3 linked regions of the Drosophila melanogaster genome follow. The protein of the gene in region 2 interacts with the protein of the main gene of each other region in a pairwise test. Each region holds a gene or a part of one and is shown on either strand. Other genes may lie near its edges.

The links.
Region 1: the proteins of zda (region 2) and Ubc7 interact in a two-hybrid assay, tested with the Drosophila melanogaster proteins (one large-scale study listed by BioGRID).
Region 3: the proteins of zda (region 2) and SKIP interact in a two-hybrid assay, tested with the Drosophila melanogaster proteins (one large-scale study listed by BioGRID).

Annotation. Positions count from the first base shown.
Region 1 is NC_004354.4:16,590,374-16,597,153, reverse strand, and holds Ubc7 (ubiquitin conjugating enzyme 7), read right to left. Parts: upstream 3,478-6,780; 5' UTR 3,154-3,477; coding exon 3,111-3,153; intron 3,049-3,110; coding exon 2,967-3,048; intron 2,884-2,966; coding exon 2,624-2,883; intron 2,464-2,623; coding exon 2,345-2,463; 3' UTR 1,287-2,344; downstream 1-1,286. Other genes in the region: CG9784 (uncharacterized protein), read left to right, coding at 1-438; SMC3 (structural maintenance of chromosomes 3), read left to right, coding at 3,788-3,802, 3,880-3,994, 4,071-4,210, 4,408-6,780.
Region 2 is NT_033778.4:18,628,241-18,635,020, forward strand, and holds zda (zonda), read right to left. Parts: upstream 3,663-6,780; 5' UTR 3,510-3,662; intron 3,396-3,509; exon of another isoform or gene 3,391-3,395; 5' UTR 3,385-3,390; coding exon 2,893-3,384; intron 2,839-2,892; coding exon 2,756-2,838; intron 2,699-2,755; coding exon 2,389-2,698; intron 2,329-2,388; coding exon 2,098-2,328; intron 2,037-2,097; coding exon 1,959-2,036; 3' UTR 1,354-1,958; downstream 1-1,353. Other genes in the region: Cth (cystathionine gamma-lyase), read left to right, coding at 1-936; CG30122 (uncharacterized protein), read right to left, coding at 4,582-4,746, 4,814-4,887, 4,952-5,123, 5,186-6,045, 6,530-6,701.
Region 3 is NT_033777.3:22,130,837-22,137,616, reverse strand, and holds the start of SKIP (shal K[+] channel interacting protein), read right to left. Parts: upstream 3,788-6,780; 5' UTR 3,166-3,787; intron 1-3,165. Other genes in the region: CG42390 (uncharacterized protein), read right to left, coding at 4,527-4,962, 5,373-5,516, 5,864-6,046, 6,275-6,374, 6,442-6,751.

The sequences.
Region 1 (6,780 bases), on a different chromosome or scaffold from region 2:
GACGAGAACACGGTGGAGTATCACAAGCAGGCAGAGTTCGACGAGGGGTCCAACGACTGGATTGGCATCTTTCCGTCGGAGTACGCCAGTTTGGCGGATTACGTAGCCTACGAGTATGTCAATCAGGCTGAGTCGCCCTCATCCTCGGACTCCAATCACCAACCGGATCCGTTTGAGACGCCCTCGCATCATCGAAGGGGTCGGCATCATCACAGGAATCGCCAGCGACAGCGTCGCCATCAGGAGGCTAATGCCCAAGAGTTGGTGCGGCTAGATTTCGCCGACGATGTGGAACTGCGTCACGGCGAGCAATACCTGTTGATATATTTCCGCAGCACCGGAGTCCGGGGCGTGACCAGTTTGGCCGGCGTCAGTGGTGTCTTTGTGGCGGAGAAGCGGCACGGCTCGCCCCATCGGACGGAGTACCATGTTGACTAGCTAGCCGAGGCTCTGGATATCTTTATTCTTTAGTCTCTGTTTCCATAACCGCCGTGTTGATCTAATTTTATTGACCTCATGTGACCGTGTTAAGTTTGCTTGTTAGCTGTTGACTCAGCGCCTCCTCTCCTCTCCCCCCCTCCAAAATACGTTAATACATACATATGTAATTATACATAATTATCGAACCAATAATATTTGTGTTTACTACCAATTCCACCTATTCCCGCCCTGAATGAATCCCGCTTTTTCGTTTGCATACATATGTTCTATTTGCTCTGCTGTCATTTTGTTATTTTTATTTGTACGGTGTCATGGCACTAGATATTTGTATTTAACCGGTTTGTCAAAAGGTTAATTACGCCACATTCACTGTCACACATCTACACTATGACACACCCTGTTGCCAGTAACAGGCAAAAACTTATTGATGAGAGCCAGGTGAGAGCTCTAAGCCAAAATGGGCAGAAACCGGAGTCTGAAAAGTGATATTTTTGAATGCCTCTCAAGTGAAATATATAGAGAAAAGGTATTATATTGAATAGAGTAGCAAAGTATGAATATAATTTTATCTTCATTTAACTACTATTTAATGTAGGCAAATTGTATTTAATTTTTTGAATAACAAAAAAGAGAAAAGTGAACTTTTTAACCATGATTCTAAACCAACCAGCTCAACTTACGAAAGATTTTTAATGTTTTAAACAAAAAGAAAAGGTTTTTCTCCGGAAACGTAGACTTTTATAAAGCGGCATGCGATGTTTTTTCCATTATCTGATTGGTATATAATCTATAAAATTTATATAAGGATAGTTTAGATAAGAACTGCACCTTAACGATAGCTGCAACCCAAGTAGACCACCAAGCAGAAAATTCAAGCAATCTGCATTGACTTCCCCCACCCACCGTACAGTGGGTCAATGGAAATCCGAACTGGCGCAGCCCTTGCCCACTCCCACTAATTGGCAATGTTTTGATGACTGACTGACTAACTGGTGGAACGTACAGTGGGCCGTAAAAGTCTGTGGTGCCCACCGTACTCGAACGATCGAATGGTGTAAACATTTTCGAGCCCATCTATGGTCCGAAAACCAAGAAGACAGAGAGCATTAATTTATGCGGGCCCGGTCAATTGAAATTCGTGTGGCTTAGTAACCTTCAGCAACTATTAGATAACTATATTACCCTCATACCAGTGGACACTTAACCAATGTATGTGTATGGGTGTGCATTTACCCACCTACCTATAAACATATAAATATATATATATATATACATACATACAGTCGTATGCCTTATCAAAGTGAACATTAATCAATTTACTTAATCGAATGAAAACGTTTACAATTGTGTAGTATTTTATGAGTACATAGGACAATTTCATGTTGGATTTCAGTTAATGATCAGTCGAATTAAGTGTGTAATGACTATATAAACCAAACATAAAGCATAATGCAAATCAAACGCCTCAATCACTTCGAATACATTGCCCTTGCACTTGAATTATCGTAATTTCTATTTAACTTTTCAAAACAGCATCTTTATAAAGCATCAATACAAATTATATCTAGTGAAAATATATAAAAAAAAATAAACCTTTAATAATAGAAATTATTAGAATTTTCACTTTTCTTGCCAACTTCTCACTCCGCCTTCACCTGGCCTCGTGTCCAACTACCAGTGATGTACTTCAGGTAATAGGCCCTCCAGTTAAGTCCGGTGAGGCAGTCAGTGTGCTAGATAAACTTGAGTTAGTCGATTTTGACGTTAGGTTCTTCATTTTTGCTAATTTGAAACTTGTGTCGGTTAGCTCAACGAGGGATTTTTGAGAAAACTATGGGTTAGCGAGTTGTTGGAATCGTGTTGTTCAGGGTAGAAAGTATTGACGGTGACGCACATGATCCATTTACGCCGGTAAACCAAGAGTTTTGCGCACCAGCCGTCGGGCGATGGCGTTGAACTCATCCCTCTGTTCGCGCCACATAATTGCTGCATCCACATTAGCGCCGCTCTCATCGTTGGGTTCTGTGGGCAAAAATGAACGACATCAGTTTGAACTTAAGGAATGAACAAGTGAAGTGAACTATCGGCATGATCAACCATATAATCTAGTGAACAAATGAACTTGGAAGTAGATACCCCCGTTGGAATTGCCCTTAAGACTTTATTGTGACTTTTTTCTTACCCGCCAGCATGCTGACCACACTAAGCAAAATCTTCTCCACGCTCTGGACAGGACTCCAGCGCTCCGCGGATAGCTCGTAGCCCATGGGATCGTCGCCGGGTGCGTGTAGTATTGATATGCAGACCCGCCCGTCGGCGAATATGTTGGGATGGAACATGTCACAAGTGAATTTCATTTTAGGCGGACTCAGAGGATAGTCGGTCGGAAAGATGAGCCGGGCAGGAAACACTCCGCCCTCGAAACAAGTGCCCTCAGGTCCGCTGCAAAGGGCAAAGTGCAATTAATGGGTTAATCTGTCCACATCTGTCCGATCCGTGTCGATCGTTCGGGGATCTTAACTCACGCAATCAGTGCCTCCCACTCGAAGAAGTTGTCCTCGCTGATGGGGCCGGCCACAATGCCCTCGGGCGGGTCAAGTGTTAACTCTGGAGATGATCGGAGCGGTGGTAAGGGAAAGCTGTTGCTGCCCTGTGGACTTTCGACTCACGTTTGTATTCCGCCATCAGGCGGCGCAGTGCGGACCCAGCCATCCTAAATGCGCTCGATGGTAATGATGATGGTTCAGTTCACGGGCTCCTTCTCCCCACTGTGACCACTTCCTTTGAGTTTCCTTCAGCTGCTTCTCCGTTTCCTGTCCACCTGCTCCTGCACCTGCTACACCCGAATGGGGTCCTTGCTTGTTTTGGCGGCAATCGCGAACTTTCCAGATCCTCGGGCACGGGTCAAAATACAGACACGTCGTAATATAATAAACACAAACGGTGTTCCGTGTTTATTTATATCGAATGAATCGAGTGGCTTTCTATAAAAATATATCTGTACTGAGTGAATTTAACAAGAGTAATCGATTCGATTCGATAACGTCGGCTATCGTTGTTTTAGTATTTCACACCTTCAAACTACCTTATTAAATTAATTATTTGTTTGCTTCTTAAACCATTATTGATGGACACTTTTAGTTGTAAAATTTAAAATTATTTTTTTGTTTTATATCATTTGAATTTTTGGTTCGATTGCAAGCCAGTGTTTTTCAAAGTTGGGATATCGATGACATCGATAGTGAAACGCAAACATCGATAAGTCGCTGCCCGAGTCGATATTATTTATGTATTTGTTGTAAAACAAAAAGAGCGCGATTTTGTGCAAAAAATCGCATATAATAAGATGCACATCAAGCAGGTGAGTGTTGAAATGACGGCCATGCTCCTGGCCACCCATTGGACACCGAAGATCTGAAATCCACCCGTTAATTCCAGATTATTATACAAGGCTTCAAGAGTTACAAGGACCAGACGGTGGTGGAACCATTCGACAAGCGCCATAACGTTGTTGTTGGACGTAATGGCTCCGGGAAGAGCAACTTCTTCTACGGTTAGTATCAGCTCCAGCCTGCCTGTTCAGCTAACCATATTTAATCGACCCTAATGCTATCCCATCCACTTTGCAGCCATCCAGTTTGTGCTAAGCGATGAGTTCACCCACTTGCGGCCGGAGCAGCGTCAGTCGCTTCTGCACGAGGGAACAGGTGCCCGCGTCATCTCCGCCTATGTGGAGATCATCTTCGACAACTCGGACAACCGAGTTCCAGTGAGTAGTCAAACCAAGTGACCCAGAAAACATAGTCTTTGCAAGAACTCTACTGCCTTGGAAGATGTAGTCAATGGTTGTAACATATCGCTCAAAATCCTCTAAAGCAACCCGCTCATAGCATCTTCTCATAATATTCAAACTTATAGGCAAACATTTCTAGCCACTTCATAACTGACGCTACGCTTATTTTGTAGATCGACAAAGAAGAGATCTTTCTGCGGCGCGTGATTGGCGCCAAAAAGGACCAGTACTTCCTCAACAAGAAGGTGGTGCCGCGCAATGAGGTGGTCAATCTGCTGGAATCGGCTGGTTTTTCCAGTTCAAATCCCTACTACATTGTCAAGCAGGGCAAAATCAATCAGATGGCAACTGCCGCCGATTCCTATCGTCTCAAGCTGCTACGCGAAGTCGCGGGAACGCGTGTTTACGACGAACGGAAGGAGGAGTCGTTAAATCTATTGCGCGAGACGGACAGCAAGGTGGAGAAAATCAGCGAGTACCTAAAGACCATCGAGGATCGGCTCCAGACGCTCGAAGAGGAGAAGGAAGAGCTAAAGGAGTACCAGAAGTGGGACAAGACGCGCCGCACGCTAGAGTATATACGCTACGAAACCGAGCTGAAGGACACCAAGAAGGCTCTCGACGAGCTCCAGCTGCAGCGCAAGTCGTCCTCGGACAAAAAGAAGATCTACAACATTGAGATTCAGAAGGCACAAGAGAAGATCAAGGATGTGCAAAAGAACCTTAAAGAGGCAAAGAAGAAAGTGCAGAGCACAAAGGAGGAGCGCTCCGTACTGATGACGGAGCAGCAACAGTTACTGCGCGAGAAAACGAAACTAGACCTAACCATTGTCGATCTAAATGACGAGGTTCAGGGCGACAACAAGTCCAAGGAGCGGGCTGACCAGGAGCTTAAGAACCTTAAGGTAACGATAGCCGAACGCGAAAAGGAACTGGACGACGTAAAGCCCAAATACGAGGCGATGAAGCGCAAGGAGGAAGACTGCTCCCGAGAGCTGCAGCTCAAGGAACAGAAGCGCAAGGAGCTTTACGCCAAGCAGGGTCGCGGTTCACAGTTCTCCTCTAGGGAGGATCGCGACAAATGGATCACCAACGAGCTGAAGTCAATTAGCAAACAGACGCGCGATAAAATCGCTCATCACGCAAAACTCGTGGAGGATCTGAAGAAGGACGCTACCTCCGAAAAGGATCTGGGTCAAAAGATCGAGGAGCACTCATCGGAACTGGAGCAGCTCCGACTGCAGATCGACGAGCACAACAAGAAGTACTACGAGCTTAAGAAGACCAAGGACCAGCATCAGTCCATGCGAAACGAGTTGTGGCGCAAGGAGACACAGATGACGCAGCAGCTGCAGACGCACAAGGAGGAGCTATCGCGGGCGGACCAGGCGCTGCGCAGCATGGCCGGCAAGCCGATCCTGAACGGTTGCGATTCTGTGCGCAAGGTTCTCGACAGCTTTGTGGAACGTGGCGGTCAATCGGCGGAGATTGCGAGAGCCTACTATGGACCCGTCATTGAGAACTTCAGCTGCGACAAGACCATCTACACGGCGGTGGAGGTAACAGCCGCCAATCGGTTATTCCATCACATTGTGGAGTCAGAATACGAGGGCACGCAAATCCTCAAGGAGATGAATAAGCTGAAATTACCGGGCGAGGTGACCTTTATGCCCCTGAATCGACTTCAGGTTAAAATACACGATTATCCGGATGATCCCGACTCCATACCTATGATCTCCAAACTGAAGTACGATGAACAGCACGACAAGGCGCTGAGGTATATCTTTGGAAAAACGCTAATCTGCAGAAATTTGGAGCGCGCCACCGAGCTGGCCAAGAGCACTGGGCTGGATTGCGTTACGCTGGACGGAGATCAAGTGTCCTCCAAGGGATCCCTCACTGGCGGCTATTTCAATACATCCCGTTCCCGTCTTGAGATGCAAAAGAAGCGCACGGAATACACCAGCCAGATAGCTGAATTCGAAAAGAAACTCAGCAAGCTGCGAAACGAGCTCAAGTCCACCGAGAACAACATCAACTCAATCGTATCCGAGATGCAGAAGACGGAAACGAAGCAGGGCAAGTCGAAGGATGTATTCGAAAAGGTGCAGGGCGAGATTCGCCTGATGAAGGAGGAGCTGGTGCGCATCGAGCAGTATCGTGCGCCCAAGGAGCGCTCACTGGCCCAATGCAAGGCCTCATTGGAGTCCATGACCAGTACGAAATCTAGTTTGGAGGCGGAGCTGAAGCAGGAGCTGATGTCGACGTTGTCGTCGCAGGATCAGCGTGAGATTGACCAGCTGAACGACGACATTCGTCGACTGAACCAGGAGAATAAGGAAGCGTTTACGCAGCGTATGCAGTTCGAGGTGCGCAAGAACAAGCTAGACAACCTGCTGATCAACAATCTGTTCCGGCGTCGCGACGAACTGATCCAAGCGCTGCAGGAGATTTCCGTGGAGGACCGCAAGCGAAAGCTAAACAATTGCAAAACGGAACTGGTTTCCGCCGAAAAGAGAATCAAGAAGGTCAACTCCGATCTGGAG
Region 2 (6,780 bases):
TTGGGAGCCACCACCGCTGTGCTAACTATGCTGAGCAGCGGCGATCACATCATCATGGGCGACGATGTTTACGGAGGCACCAACCGTTTGATCCGACAGGTTGCCACCCGTCTGGGAATCTCAGCCACCTTTGTGGATCCCACGAAGTTGGATCTAATTAAAAGTTCCATCAAGCCGGAGACCAAGTTGGTGTGGATCGAGTCACCAACTAATCCATTGGTAAAGGTAGCCGACATCGAGGCTATTGCGCAGCTGGTCCATGGAGTACGCGAGGATATCGTCCTGGCCGTCGACAACACCTTCCTGACCTCCTACTTCCAGCGACCCTTGGAGCTGGGCGCTGATCTGGTCTGCTACTCCCTGACCAAGTACATGAACGGTCATACGGATGTGGTCATGGGTGGCATCACCATGAACTCGGAGAAGCTCTACAAAAGCTTGAAGTTCCTGCAGAACGCAGTGGGCATTGTGCCGTCTCCATTCGACTGCTATCAGGTGAACAGAAGTCTTAAGACGCTCTCGCTGCGCATGGAACAGCACCAGAAGAATGCTCTGAAGGTTGCCAAATACCTGGAGACGAATCCGTTCGTGGAGAAGGTGTTGCATCCCTCTTTGCCCTCCCATCCGCAGCACAAGATCGCTCTGAAGCAGGCATACGGATACAGCGGCGTGTTCTCCTTCTACATTAAGGGCGAGCTGAAGCACTCCTCGGCTTTCCTCAAGGCCCTCAAGGTGTTCACCCTGGCAGAGAGTCTGGGTGGCTACGAGAGTCTGGCCGAGCTTCCATCAATAATGACCCATGCCTCGGTTCCAGCGGAGGATAGGAAAACTTTGGGCATCACTGACGGTCTAGTTCGCTTGTCCGTCGGACTGGAGGATGCCGATGATTTGATCAAGGATCTGGAGCAGGCCCTTGAAATTGCATCGAAGGCCTAAGTTACTCGCATCACATGTATTTTTTTTATTTTTCGCAGGAATTTGTTTAACCGAAAGCTTATGAATTTGTATATTAATCACCCCAATAAAAGTGTTTTGTCTCAAATGAAAGATATTTATAAACACTTGCTTATAAACATACGTTTGTAAACATATAGACTTTCTGGATAGATCGAATAGATATTACAGATTGTGGCGAACTGATAAGATGTGGTAAATAAAGCTTTGTGTTATTGCTGGTTTTTTTTTCACAATTATTGTTGATATAGTGATCAGATACTGAAAATTGTTGATGTCTTGATAGGTTTATATACGATCGCAGCTGCATTACCTCCACGACCCCCCATAGAAACAGCCTTGGGAGACCCAAATATACCCATTGTCATGTCGATTACCATACGCAAACAATGAATCAGCATGTTTAAATTCGCACCATCATTTAATCATTCTAAGTCGCGATAGAAGAAAATTATATCTCTTGAACGGATGTTCCGATTTGTTTTTACAAAAGTTCGTTTGCCTTTTAGATTAGAGCAGAGTTTAGTTAAATCATGCATTATTTAAGTAACGAACAAAAAAAATCAAGTTAGGAGTTCTTATCAGTGCTGCTCTTATCAGTATCATTACATTCATATGGTATTTCATATGCTTTCTTTCGAACCTTATTGCAAGTTCATAAATATGGTCTGATTTCGATTGTGTTGCTTTATTTCGTTTGAAAATTGTATAAAACATAATGATGAGAATATTGTGTTTATTTTAACAATTCCCGTTACTTGTCTGACAGAATGTAGTTGATTAAACTTAAGCTTTAACATTATATGTACGATATCCAAAACCATACTATTTGAAAGATACATACTATTGTGAAGTGTGCATAGCATTAAATGTACAACGAGAGCCATATCATCATAATAAGCAACTGCGACTTTCCAACATTCATAATTTTGCCTTCTATATATACTTAAAAAATGCATTTCAATTGCTTAAAATAACCAGTAGTTCGTGTGCAATGCTTGTCCTTAGTACTTGTAACGATAAATAGCGACGCCAGCCACTCCAATTAATATCGTACCCATTAGATAGCCAAGCAGCTTCAGCTGAATGACAAAATGAGAATTAACACTCGGTTTTTTTTTATAAACTCATTAGCTATCTCACCTTGGAATTGTCGACAAGCGGCTGCTTTTGCCTGGTGGCAGTATTCTGCTCCATTTTTTTGGCCTGGCCCAGCATCTTTTGATACATCTCCTTTTCGTTGTGCTCCTCACGACGAGCCTTGATGAAAAGTCTGGCCAAATCCGATTGAACGGCTCGATTTTCGGGTTCGAGAGTAGCCACTTTTTGCAGTAGCTTAATAGCACCCTGGGTGTCCGCTTTGCCCTCCAATATCTGCCGGGTAATTTAAGTATTTTGTGAATGAAAATCGATGGTTCTGAGCCAACAACTTACTCTTCCTTTGCGATACAAGGCTTTGGAGTTATTTGGCTGGCACCGCAGCACATGCTCCACGGACTGCAGAGCTGCGTCATAAGCGGCAATCTTGATTTGAGTCATTGCCAAGTTATTGTAAACGATCAACCGATCCTCTAGCAGGGTCTGCGTGTCACTGTTCGAGAGCTCCAAGTCTTCCTTGTCGAACTCGGAGTCCGGATCCCCATCACGATTGTCCAGAAAGTCGAGGGCACGTCTGTACAGGTGAATGGCGGTTGTGAACTCCGAGCGTTTGTAAAAGAAATTGGCACGTTCTTTCTTGCGCGTACTGAAAAGATGAATTATTTTTTAAGAACCGACTAGCAAAGCAAAGAATATAACATACCCATATTTGCGCAGTATTTCAAAGCTCTTAAGGTCCGCAAATTCTTCGTATTTGATATCCAGAAGCTCTATTTCGTAGGTAAGCTGGAAAATTGATATATGTGAAGAGTTCTTATGACAATTTGAATATAAACTTACGTGCGCATCGGGTGGTACCAGGTACTCGGATTCACCCTCTTTTTTCAGTCCTAGGGAGCCGTAGCCGAAGCGGGAATCCACGCTGACTTGGGACACTTCGCCGACCTGCAGCATGGGCAACACCATATCTAATCCTTGGATAACCTCGTAGTCTCCCACGTGACACTGGAAGTTCAACTCGTTCTCGACCACCGTGCCGTTGTCCAGTTTTCCAGTGAAGTTCACGGTGACCAATTCGCCGCGAATCGGACGCCTAAACGAGTCTTGCGGTGCCTTTTTGATGGTGCGCTTAATCAGCTGCTTGTTACCCAGTATATCACATTCCTCCTCTGCATCCTCCTCCTCCGCCTTCTGTCCGTCTCCAGAAACGGATGCCGGGGGTGCGCCATCTCCGGAGGCTGCCTCCTCCGCTGCCACCTTGCGAATGTCTTTGGTGTCCTCGGCGTTGGTCAGGTCCTCGAAGGAGCTGCTGCTAGACTTCTCCGTATCCATAATTACCTATGCTTGGCGAGGCGAAAGTATGTAAATCAGTGGAACTCGGAACAAAGGGCAAAGGCAAAGTGGGAGGGTTGGTCGAGTTTGCTGGTTTCAGAACGGCACACCTAATCTCAACTTACAGCAGTATCTGATTGTGATATCGGATTTTGGTAAAAAAAAAATGATTTAATTTGATTTCAAAAGCAAAATGCGACAAGAAAGTTACTGGGAAACGAAAAATAATTTTACGGACTTCTGCCAGCTAGCCAGTGTGACCAAGTTGCAGTGTGCCCGTTTGCCGAAAATTCCGCTAAGCCGCACTGGTAGTGACTCAAGTAAAAATTTTATCACATTAGTTTATTATTTAAACAGCTTATCTTTAGAAAATATTTATTAGCTACAAATATCCTTTGCTTTATTTTTTTGAATTTCAGTTACTCATAGCACAACTTAAGTTTGAAATCTAAGGCAAACTTACTAATTTTTTTTTGGAAATAAAAATATACATTTAAAAAAAAAAGCAAACGTTAGTTTTTAGTTTAATAAAACTGTTTTAAACACTAAATTAGAAAATACATACTTGCAGACTCCAATATTTCTTAAATTGCATTCGGCCTAATGTAAATTTTAAAATTAGCTGTTTATCGTGTTTTAACGATTTGTCCTTTAAAATGCGAGCGCATTACACACCCTTTCCCAGTAATAAGATCGTTTAAATAGATTTTTTCAATGTATAGATTTATTCGTTAATGTTTCTTCTCTAATGCGTTCATTTCAATTGTTTGCGTTGATTGTAAAAAATAAAACAATAATCGTAATAAACGTTAAAACAAGTTGTACTGCCTAGATACGTAGTGCCAGAGTAAAGACCGCGTTTCATTCAATTGCTTCGTCACTGTCATATAGAAAATGCGTTGTGGAAAATGAAAAGCGAAACATTCACGTTCAATTTCAAATGATATATGTAGTCTTAGTTTTGTACAATCCATCCGAAGGTAAGGTAAGAATTTTGACTTAGGGTTTGGTTAGCCCTCGCAATTGTTTGGTTTCGACTAGCCCAAACTGGCTAAACTAAATTAATTTTGTTTTACTGTTCGTTAATCGTTTAAAACTATTATATAAAGTTTAGTTCAGATTTGTGGTTAACTCCTTTCGGGACAACGCAGAGGGGTCTGGGCCTGGTGGAACACGGCTGCATAGTGTTGCTGCATTCTACTTCTTGTCGGCACCCGCATTGGACTGCGTGGAGTACGAATATTGAGACCAGTAATGATTGGCGGCACCGCCATCATTATTGCCAGCGCCGCCGCCGACATTTACGCCTGATCCGCCACTGGCATTCCCAGCCGCTGCTCCGCCAGAGCCCTGCTGCTGCTGCTGTTAAAGAAACAATATCTTTAGTATTCTCGCTTCCAATGACTTTCATAAGACTCCTCCTGCTTACCTGCCACCAGGACATCCACTGTTGTTGCTGCTGCGGATCGGCACTCTGCCAGGCCTGTTGGTTGCCATAACCTGCTGGGAGAATCAACATAACTCGTATAGTCTTCGCCCTTAAGCAGTCGAACACTGCGTCACTTACTCTGCATTTGGTTATAGGCCCAGTATTGTTGCTGGCCCGCCGCTGCTTGCTGAGGTTGTTGGTATTGTTGTGACTGCTGCTGAGTCTGCCAGATGCCCGTTTGTTGATGCTGCGGCGCCTGCTGTTGCTGATGGTGTTGACTGTACGTACTCCACTTGCCGCTAAGGGAGGCCTACAGGAACGATCGAGATCTTAGCCAGCTGTCATGCGTCGAGGATTTGGTCGCACACTTACCTTGCCTCCGCCAGGTGCTCCACCTTGTTGCTTGTACTGATCGTAGCCACCGCCTACAGCGGTGTTATTGCCATACTTGGGTAGCGATTGACCAGCTGACCGCTCATAGCCACCGCGACTATCTTCTTTGGTGTCGCGGTGGCCAGGCCGAAAATCCCGTTGTTGATGAGTACCACCTCCCGAGCGATAGCTACTCTGGCTGCTGCCCCGGTTCCGGTCGTTACTGCCCATTCGACTGCGGTCGTTGCCACGGTCTCGATCGCGATAGTCCCGCGAGCTGCCGTAGCCGCGGTCGTCATACCCACTTCTGCGGTTGTTCTGCATCCAGTTTTGCTGACCACCACCACCACCACCACCACCGCCGCCGCCGCCACCACCACCGCTGCCGCCTGCGTATCCACGGTTGCGATTGTCGTATCCACGACTGCCGCTTCCACCGCCACCATAGCCGCGATCATCGTACCCGCTTCTGCGGCTGTTCTGCACCCAATTTTGCTGGCCACCGCTACCGCTGTTGTAGTTGCGGCGATTGTCGTAGCCACGACTGCCGCCTCCACCACTATTGCTGGAGTAACCGCCACCGCCGCCTCCCCTGCGGGAGTCGCTCCAACGACTTTCGTGCCGCTGGCCGCCATAATCACGACGTCGGTCATCATTGTATCGATTCCGGTTCCGGTCATCACGACGATAGTTGTCGCGACTTCCTCGGGATCTCTTGTCACGCGACCTCTCCGCGTCAATGGCCTTTTTGCCCTTCTCGTTGTACTTCTTGACCTCGCTCTTGGCCTCGTCACCAGTCAGCTCCGTGTAGTTTATATCATCGAACCAGCCAAACTCCAGCGAGGGAAGTGTGAAGTTGGCTGGAAAAAGATTGCGTGTACATCATCAATAAGGCTGCACAATTGCTAAAATCGCTCATTATCATTACAGATTAGGAATTATTGTAGATGGAGTATAGAGGGAAAGAAGGGATCAACTTTGGCAACCGAACGTAAAAGGGCGCAAAAATTTCGATTTTCAAGAAATCCAGTTGTGAATAAAGTCCATCCTTTATACGTTCCAGTTGCCAAGTGGGGGTTGTTATAGAATAAATGTTAATGAATAATGGTAATAATAATAATCAAATTATGAGATATTTTGAAGGGCTTACAGTTACAATTACGTATAGATACATAAAGTGCAGCTGCTTACAAACTAAATACGTTACATAAGTTTTTATAATGTTTTTCATTTTAACAAGAATGCCTCCTTATTTAGATAGGTAGAATAATAAGTTATACGATCGTACATTATTCTGGATTTTTTTTTTCAATTCGTTGCTTTGGTGTGGTGGATAATATTTACCTCGTAAATTATTAATTGTTGATTCTTTAACTGTAAAAGCATTTCCCTTTTCCTCTTTTTCGGCGATGCGACGTTTCAATTCATCTTCGCTGGGTATGCAAACGACCGCAATTCGCTTGAAGTCGTTAAAACCCTTCATTTTACGTCGCTGGGCCGAGGCATACACATTGGTCTACAAGAATACAGTTGGTTGATCGGTTGGTTGGTTGGTGTTGTTTGGTTGAATTGGGTTCAGATTTTGTCTGCCAGTT
Region 3 (6,780 bases), on a different chromosome or scaffold from region 2:
CCGAGGACAGCGAGTAGTTGTTGGCCTGCGGCTGCCCGTCCTGGCCAAGTTTGCGAGAAAATCGATTTTAGCGCTGCCTGCGCTCGCACGGGCGGCCTTTTGGATGCGAGTGTCCAGGTTTCAGGTCCAGATCCAGATCCAGCTCCACTGCGAGTGCGATTTCGAGTACGTTGCCCAGTCACAGTGCCATTCGTATTCCCCAGCCTTCAGTCCGCCAGTCGACAGTCCCACTCCCATTTTCATTCCCAGTAGGGGAGTTGCACTCCTGTTTGTCCACAGCAAGAAATACCAAGGGTTATACCTTTAAAAAGTTCGTTCTATGACTTTAAGAACTTAAACGTATAAAAGGATTTAAATTTAATTCCACATTTAAACTATCAAAAAAAAAAAAAGGAATAGCTTTTTTAAAGATAATTTTATAAATTTCATCCACTTTTCCGTTTAAGATTTATTTTGTTTCCCATTCTTGTTTTACAACTCAACTATTAAGATACACATATAGGCCTATCAGTACCATAAATCCACTTTATATCTGTGATTATCTTTATGGGGATGCACCTTTTTTTTGGCTCAGTGTCCGTTCTGTTTGTTTGTTTGTCGCTTTTAATGCTGAACGGAGTTGGCGAAGGCGACTCTTGACTGATTTTTATGCTTTTGGCCCAATTGCCCCGCAGTAGCCGCTCCGTTCGGAGAGCGGACTCCGATGGGCACTGGGCACTGGGCAATGGGCATCGACCGGTTCTCACTGCTCGGTCCTCGGTCCTCGGCCGGGATTACACCTTCCTGCCCTGCGAGGCGAGGTGCCCCCTCAATGCCACCCATTAGCGGCCCTTTGTTTGACTTGCAGTTGCAATATAAGGTCATTCCTCTGCTCTTGTTCTTGCCGGTGTTTTTGTTGCAGTTGCACGCTTTTCGTTTCGTTTGATGGCTGCGCACGCGGCCTTTTGTTAGTTTTCCCCAACCAATTTCATTTTTTCTTTTTTTTTTCCTTTCCATTATTATTATGCTTTTTTCGTACTCTTAAAGGGAACAACATCGGCGAAATCGCAGTCTAATCACTTCATTAGCCCGAGTCTCCCACCGCTTTTGGCCATGTTAACACGTTGTTCGCCTGCAAGTTGCACGAACTTGCTGGCAAAGTGCGAAAAAAAATGGATTTTAATTGAAAAAGTGTGGGAAGTGTAAACATCGATGCGACTTTTGCTTTCTTTGGATTGTTTAAGTGGTGCCCCGGATTTAATGTAAAACAACTAGAATGTATTTCAAAAGTATGAAAAATTCCATGAATTTTCTACAATTTTTGCAATCATAATTGTATAAATTTCAAGCAAATTTTTAATGGCTCTTAATAATAGTGCAAAATCATCGAGACAACTATGCTTTTATGTAAATTTTGTTTTGACCAATTACTCGGAGTATAAGTGCACATTTTGTAGATGTACAATTAAGTGTTGTTTGCCCACAACTAAATGCTTAAATGGAGACCATTAAAGTGGCTTTTAGAGCATCAAAACTCCAGTCGGAAATATCGCAAAAGTTGAATCGCAACTAATTTACTAACCCACACTATATTTGCCTAAAGTTTTCTCACAATTGTAAAGGTGAAATAGCATCAGCTGTGAGTCTGTGGAGCTGTGAAGAGTGCTCCTCTCGCTTATCGCATAATTGGTAGCAATGTTGGCTGCCACTTTTTGCTGCGGCTTCTGTGGCAGCAGGAACCATGGAAGCAGGCGATTCTTTCTCGGCTCTCCACCTCGCCACCGTATCCGTCGCATTCCGGAGATGCCGGCAAAACACTTGTCAGCGACTTAAATGGCGCGCAGCTGTGCGGCATTAGCTGGGGAGAGCTGGTAAGGCTGGGCAGCCAAGATCTGGGAGTTGAGAGGAGACCAGCGAGACCAGGGAGACCAGTGGACACACCTCTTAAGGAGGTGTTGCGACCGCTGCTCCAGGAAGTGGGCATCTGGAGGGGGAAGGCGTAGGGAGCACGGCACTGCAAGTCCAGTGGCGACATTTGATGTGATTATTGAGTTATGCCCACGGGGGCAGGTGCCAGGCATATTTCGCTTAATTTTCTGATGAAGTTATTCACCGAGATATGGAACGCAGCGAAAATGTACACGTATTATAAGCACAGATAAGCTACCCAAACAAGCAGGCACAAAAAAAATAAGAGACAAGGTAAAAGAAGGTGTGGTTGTGTGATTTTAAATGACAATCCTCTTCGGTGTCTAAAGTCGGCAGTTTAGGGTTTTATTTGGACACGGCCACGACAGGTGTTTAAAAAACATTTCAAGTCTCAAAATGTTGAAAGCACACAAGTAATCAATGTTTTTTTAATTGACGTTTAATTATTGCTCGAGACAGAAATTAATTGAGTTCGATAAATCATTATGTCGAACTTTCAATATGTCTTTGAATATTTCATATTATGTGATTCTGCATAATTTTCAATTAAAGAATTTATATCAGTGGGTTAAATGCGTGTTGTAATTTTGCACAAGAACTTTCAATTCGAAAGAAGATACGCACTTTTTAAGTGAAATATGTGACTTTATGAGTCATTCTATCTCAAAAAGGAAGTTTTCAAGACATTAAGGAAGTGTTTATACAATTTAAACCAAATGAGTGAAAAATGGACAATTGTATAACAAAATGCAGAGAGGAAGTGTTGCATAAATAATTAACATTTGTCAGGAAATCTGTGGGCAGCAACAACAAAAAGCCGGCCAAGAGTCAGAATTAGAGGGAAATAAGAGGGAGACAGAGATGAAACGAAAACAGCAGGCACTACTAAATCACCGACAACAACAACAACAGCAACCCCGGAGGATGAGGATAGAGTGGAAATGGGAAGGGAATAAAAACATAAAAAAAAGCGGCACAGATTGCCGAGAACAAGAACTAAACACAGGCACACACACAGTTTGAGCACTCCAGCTGTGTAGTTGTTGTTGTTGCTGTTTTTTCGCCGCTCCTTTCTGCCCTGCAATCAATAAAACGGATTAGGAATATCCTTTAAATGCGGCGCTTGGTGGAGGCTGCACACACACACTATCGCACTCACGAAATCTCCCTCACACACACAAAAGCACACACAGGCACACATGGCTGCAAATCTTTTACAATAACACATATAGGAGGAATAGAAGTAGCGGCACTTACTTTTCGTTTTCGTGTTTCTCCGTTCGTAGAGGAAATTAGGAGATGGCAATTGAAGGTGGAAGAAAGGAGGATGGCAAGGAGGAGATGAAAACAAAACCGAAAAACGTACACTCAAACACGCACGCACACGAAGACACGCAGGGCGCAATGATTTACCGTTACGCGACGCGAAAATGCTCACAGGAATGGCTACCAATTTACTCCAATTTTGATTTTGTCACTTGCATCACAAACATTCACATTCGACCCCAACGACCTTGCTGTTCCTCCTACGCGCAACTAAAGTGCTATGCTACAAATGCAATTTAAATGCTTGCTAAATAACTGGGTTTTTTTTTTCGTAGAGGAACACACACGACGTTTCAAATTAACAAATTGCTGCCGGTTGTGTCTGCGTTATCACGATTCCTTGATGGCATGGCTGATGGTAATTGGTTATTGGCCAGCCTGTTTGCTTATTAAACGGCTCGTTTGGCCACCGTTTTCGTTTCGCTCAATTCTCAATCACAACACACTTGCTTCAGTTTTACCGGCTTTTTCAGTTTCAATTTCACGCGAATAGACCGCTCGAGCTGGTTTTCAAAACGACCGGATCTCGAACATTTCGACGACTGACCGCGCGGCGATAAATGCGTTCGTATATATTCGTATATGTTGCTTGCTCCATCTGGCATTTTTAGCATCACAGCCGAGCTCGCGAACGGTCACTCTCTTGGTTCGATGCAACCGATTTAGTTCGAGTTCGAAGGGTTTCGAACTTACGTTTCTTATATTAAAAGAAGTGCACAAAAATTCAATAAATTGTTTGTTTCTATTTATATTTCATAATTAGAAAAGTACAATTATTGTTTACCGTTTTCTTGCCCGTAGATCATTTAAATTTAGCCGCGCCACAATTGCATTCTTATATTTGAAATACGTACTAATTGGGCGAATTTAGTTCATTTAGTACAATTGATGCGCATGCGTCTCTCTTGAAAATTAAATTCTCTCGCATTTACAGTGCCAAGATAACTGTTAAGCTAACAGCTGTTAAGTCTAAGCAATAAATAAAAAAATAGTAAACTGTATAAATATCAGTATTATTAAAAATATTTACATTTATTTCGTTTCTTTTTGTTTTTGGCGGTTTCAGAAACCAATTCAGAAATTTAATTTACAATTTTTATGAGTTCAAGCTTTGAGCGATTTGATTGAGTGGTTCGATTTCCGTATCCAGCGATACAGAGGGCAGCACATGAAGCACCAAAAGCACCCGGGATCACACACACATCCTTGGTCCTGGAACATCCACTCCTGGGGATCTCGAAGAATACAGCCACAAAATTGGAAGATCTATGTATATAGAAAGTTTTGACCGCTCACACGGCGGTGATGAGATGGGCGTCATCCTCGTTGATTCGATCCGACTTTCCATTGACCTCGATCGTGTGATTGGACTCGGTGTCGCTGGGTTCCTGCTCGACCTCCTCATCCGCTTCATCGTCCTCGTCCCCCTGGGAGGAGTTCTCACCATTTTCCTTGTCGGGCGATTCTCGCTCCTCGTTTTCCTCGTATATGACGTCACAGCTGGTGGCTATTGATTTGGGCGGCGGCTTCTTTACCGCTTTTCCACCGCCTTTGCGGTCACCATTTTGTTGCATCTCGGACATTTGAATCTGCATTTCCCGCAGGCGATCGGTGAGCACATACAAATCCCGCTCCTGACTCTCGCATCGTGTCCTCAATTCGGTTATCTCACGCAGATCCTCGGCTCGAGGATCTCGTCTTTCGTATCGCATGCGCATCTCCTCAAATCTGCGCAAAAAGGATTGCAAAATTCCTTAAATATTTACTATATTCACTACTAAACTACCAAAAAGGATAATGGTGAATTCAAGGCGGATGCTGGATACTGACTTGGCGTACAACATCCCACAACACGGACAAGCAAAAGTAAGATAAATTTGTGTTAAAGATAAAAAGAGTTAAAAGGTCGAGCTCTTAAATCCCTTTCCTTTCCGATTTTATTTTTTTATTTTTCAAAATTATATAAAGATAAGAATCTTATATTTTAGCAAAATTCGAAAGTTTCGAATCATAATTCCATAGATCTGTGGTCTCAATCACACTCAATCTTTTAATTAACTTTCCTTAGACTTAGGAACTCGACCTTGGGGAAGATGGGTCAGGGTGGCTGGTGGTTTTTGGGGAATGGGTGCACTTACAGATTGGTCAGGCAGCGGCACTTGCGATGCAGCTGCTCGATCTCGTTGGCGTTGCTGATGTCGCGCTTGTCCAGCGCCGCCTTCTCGGCATCGTAGGCCGCCTTCAGGTCCTTGAGATTGCGCTGGTGCCGAAGTTCTACATCGCTGCGGTTGCGGATGCGGATACGAATGCGTACGCGGATACGGATGCAGATTCGGATTCGGGTTGGGGTTATTCAGGTTATATAGAGTGGTCAGAGGTTGAGGTGGATACACACACATAGCGAGAAAGAGAAAGTAAAATATTAGGAGAATCGCACCAGAAGGACAACGTTTGACAAGCTGCATGCCAGATAAAAACATATTTTTTTTCTTATGGGTTTTGTTCGCATTTCAAACATTTCAATACCAATGTCTTATGTCTAACAAGAGATTTTCGATGATGGCCAGTCTTAAATTTAAATCAAGAATCATTTTAAGCGTGAAAAGGGGGATTAATATTTTATTGGCGCGCTAGGAGGTGGCGATATTTGATATAGATCACTGCGACAATATTGAACACCAAGCATGCAATGGCGATCAGCGGCGACATGGTCAGATATAGCACATATAGTGTGGGCATATACGGCCACGCCCCCTTTGCAAACGCCCACAGGGCTGGAGAGGCTGTCGATCGACCTAAACGCTGATCCATGCTGATCCAATGAATGAAATGTGAAACGAAAGAGAACAGAATACAAGTTCATGTGATAATGGATCGAGTTCAAGGACTCCAATGTGACAAATGTGGCAAATGAGTAGGATGCAGACATTCAATGCAAGCCAATGGATCCTGCTTCAATTTAGTGGGGAGCAGCGGTCAGGGGGCACTATTAAGGTAAGTATGCCCATGGGGCGGGGCATGCCACATTGCATTCACTCACTTGATTCGTTCATCGGCAGCGGCCATTTTTGCGCGATGTCGCTCCACAAGTTCCTGCAACGCCTCCTCCTTCTCCGCCTGCAACTTGGCCTTTTGTGAGTCTGCCGATTGATATAATCAATTATATAATTATATATAATAATAATCAATATACACATGTATCTTTACCCAGCTCCTTTCGATGTGATTCGACCATTTCCTGAGTGGAGAGCTGCAGTTCCTTGGCAAACTCCTCCTTAACTTGACCGAGACGTTCGCGGAACTTCTCCTCCATTTCGGCCTTCTCCGCCTCGAACTCCTTCTGGAGTCGTTCCTCCAGCTCGACACGGCGATCCTCCTCGCGGCACATGGCATTCTGGTACTCGCGATCGGCCTTATCCAAATGCATTCGGGTCTGAAGCAGGGCGTTATCCGAACGTTCGCGCAGGCTGAGGAAATCCTGTTTCTTTTGCTCCAGGCTCTCGTGCAGATCGTCAATCTAAATGATGGTTTATAAAATGCAAATAT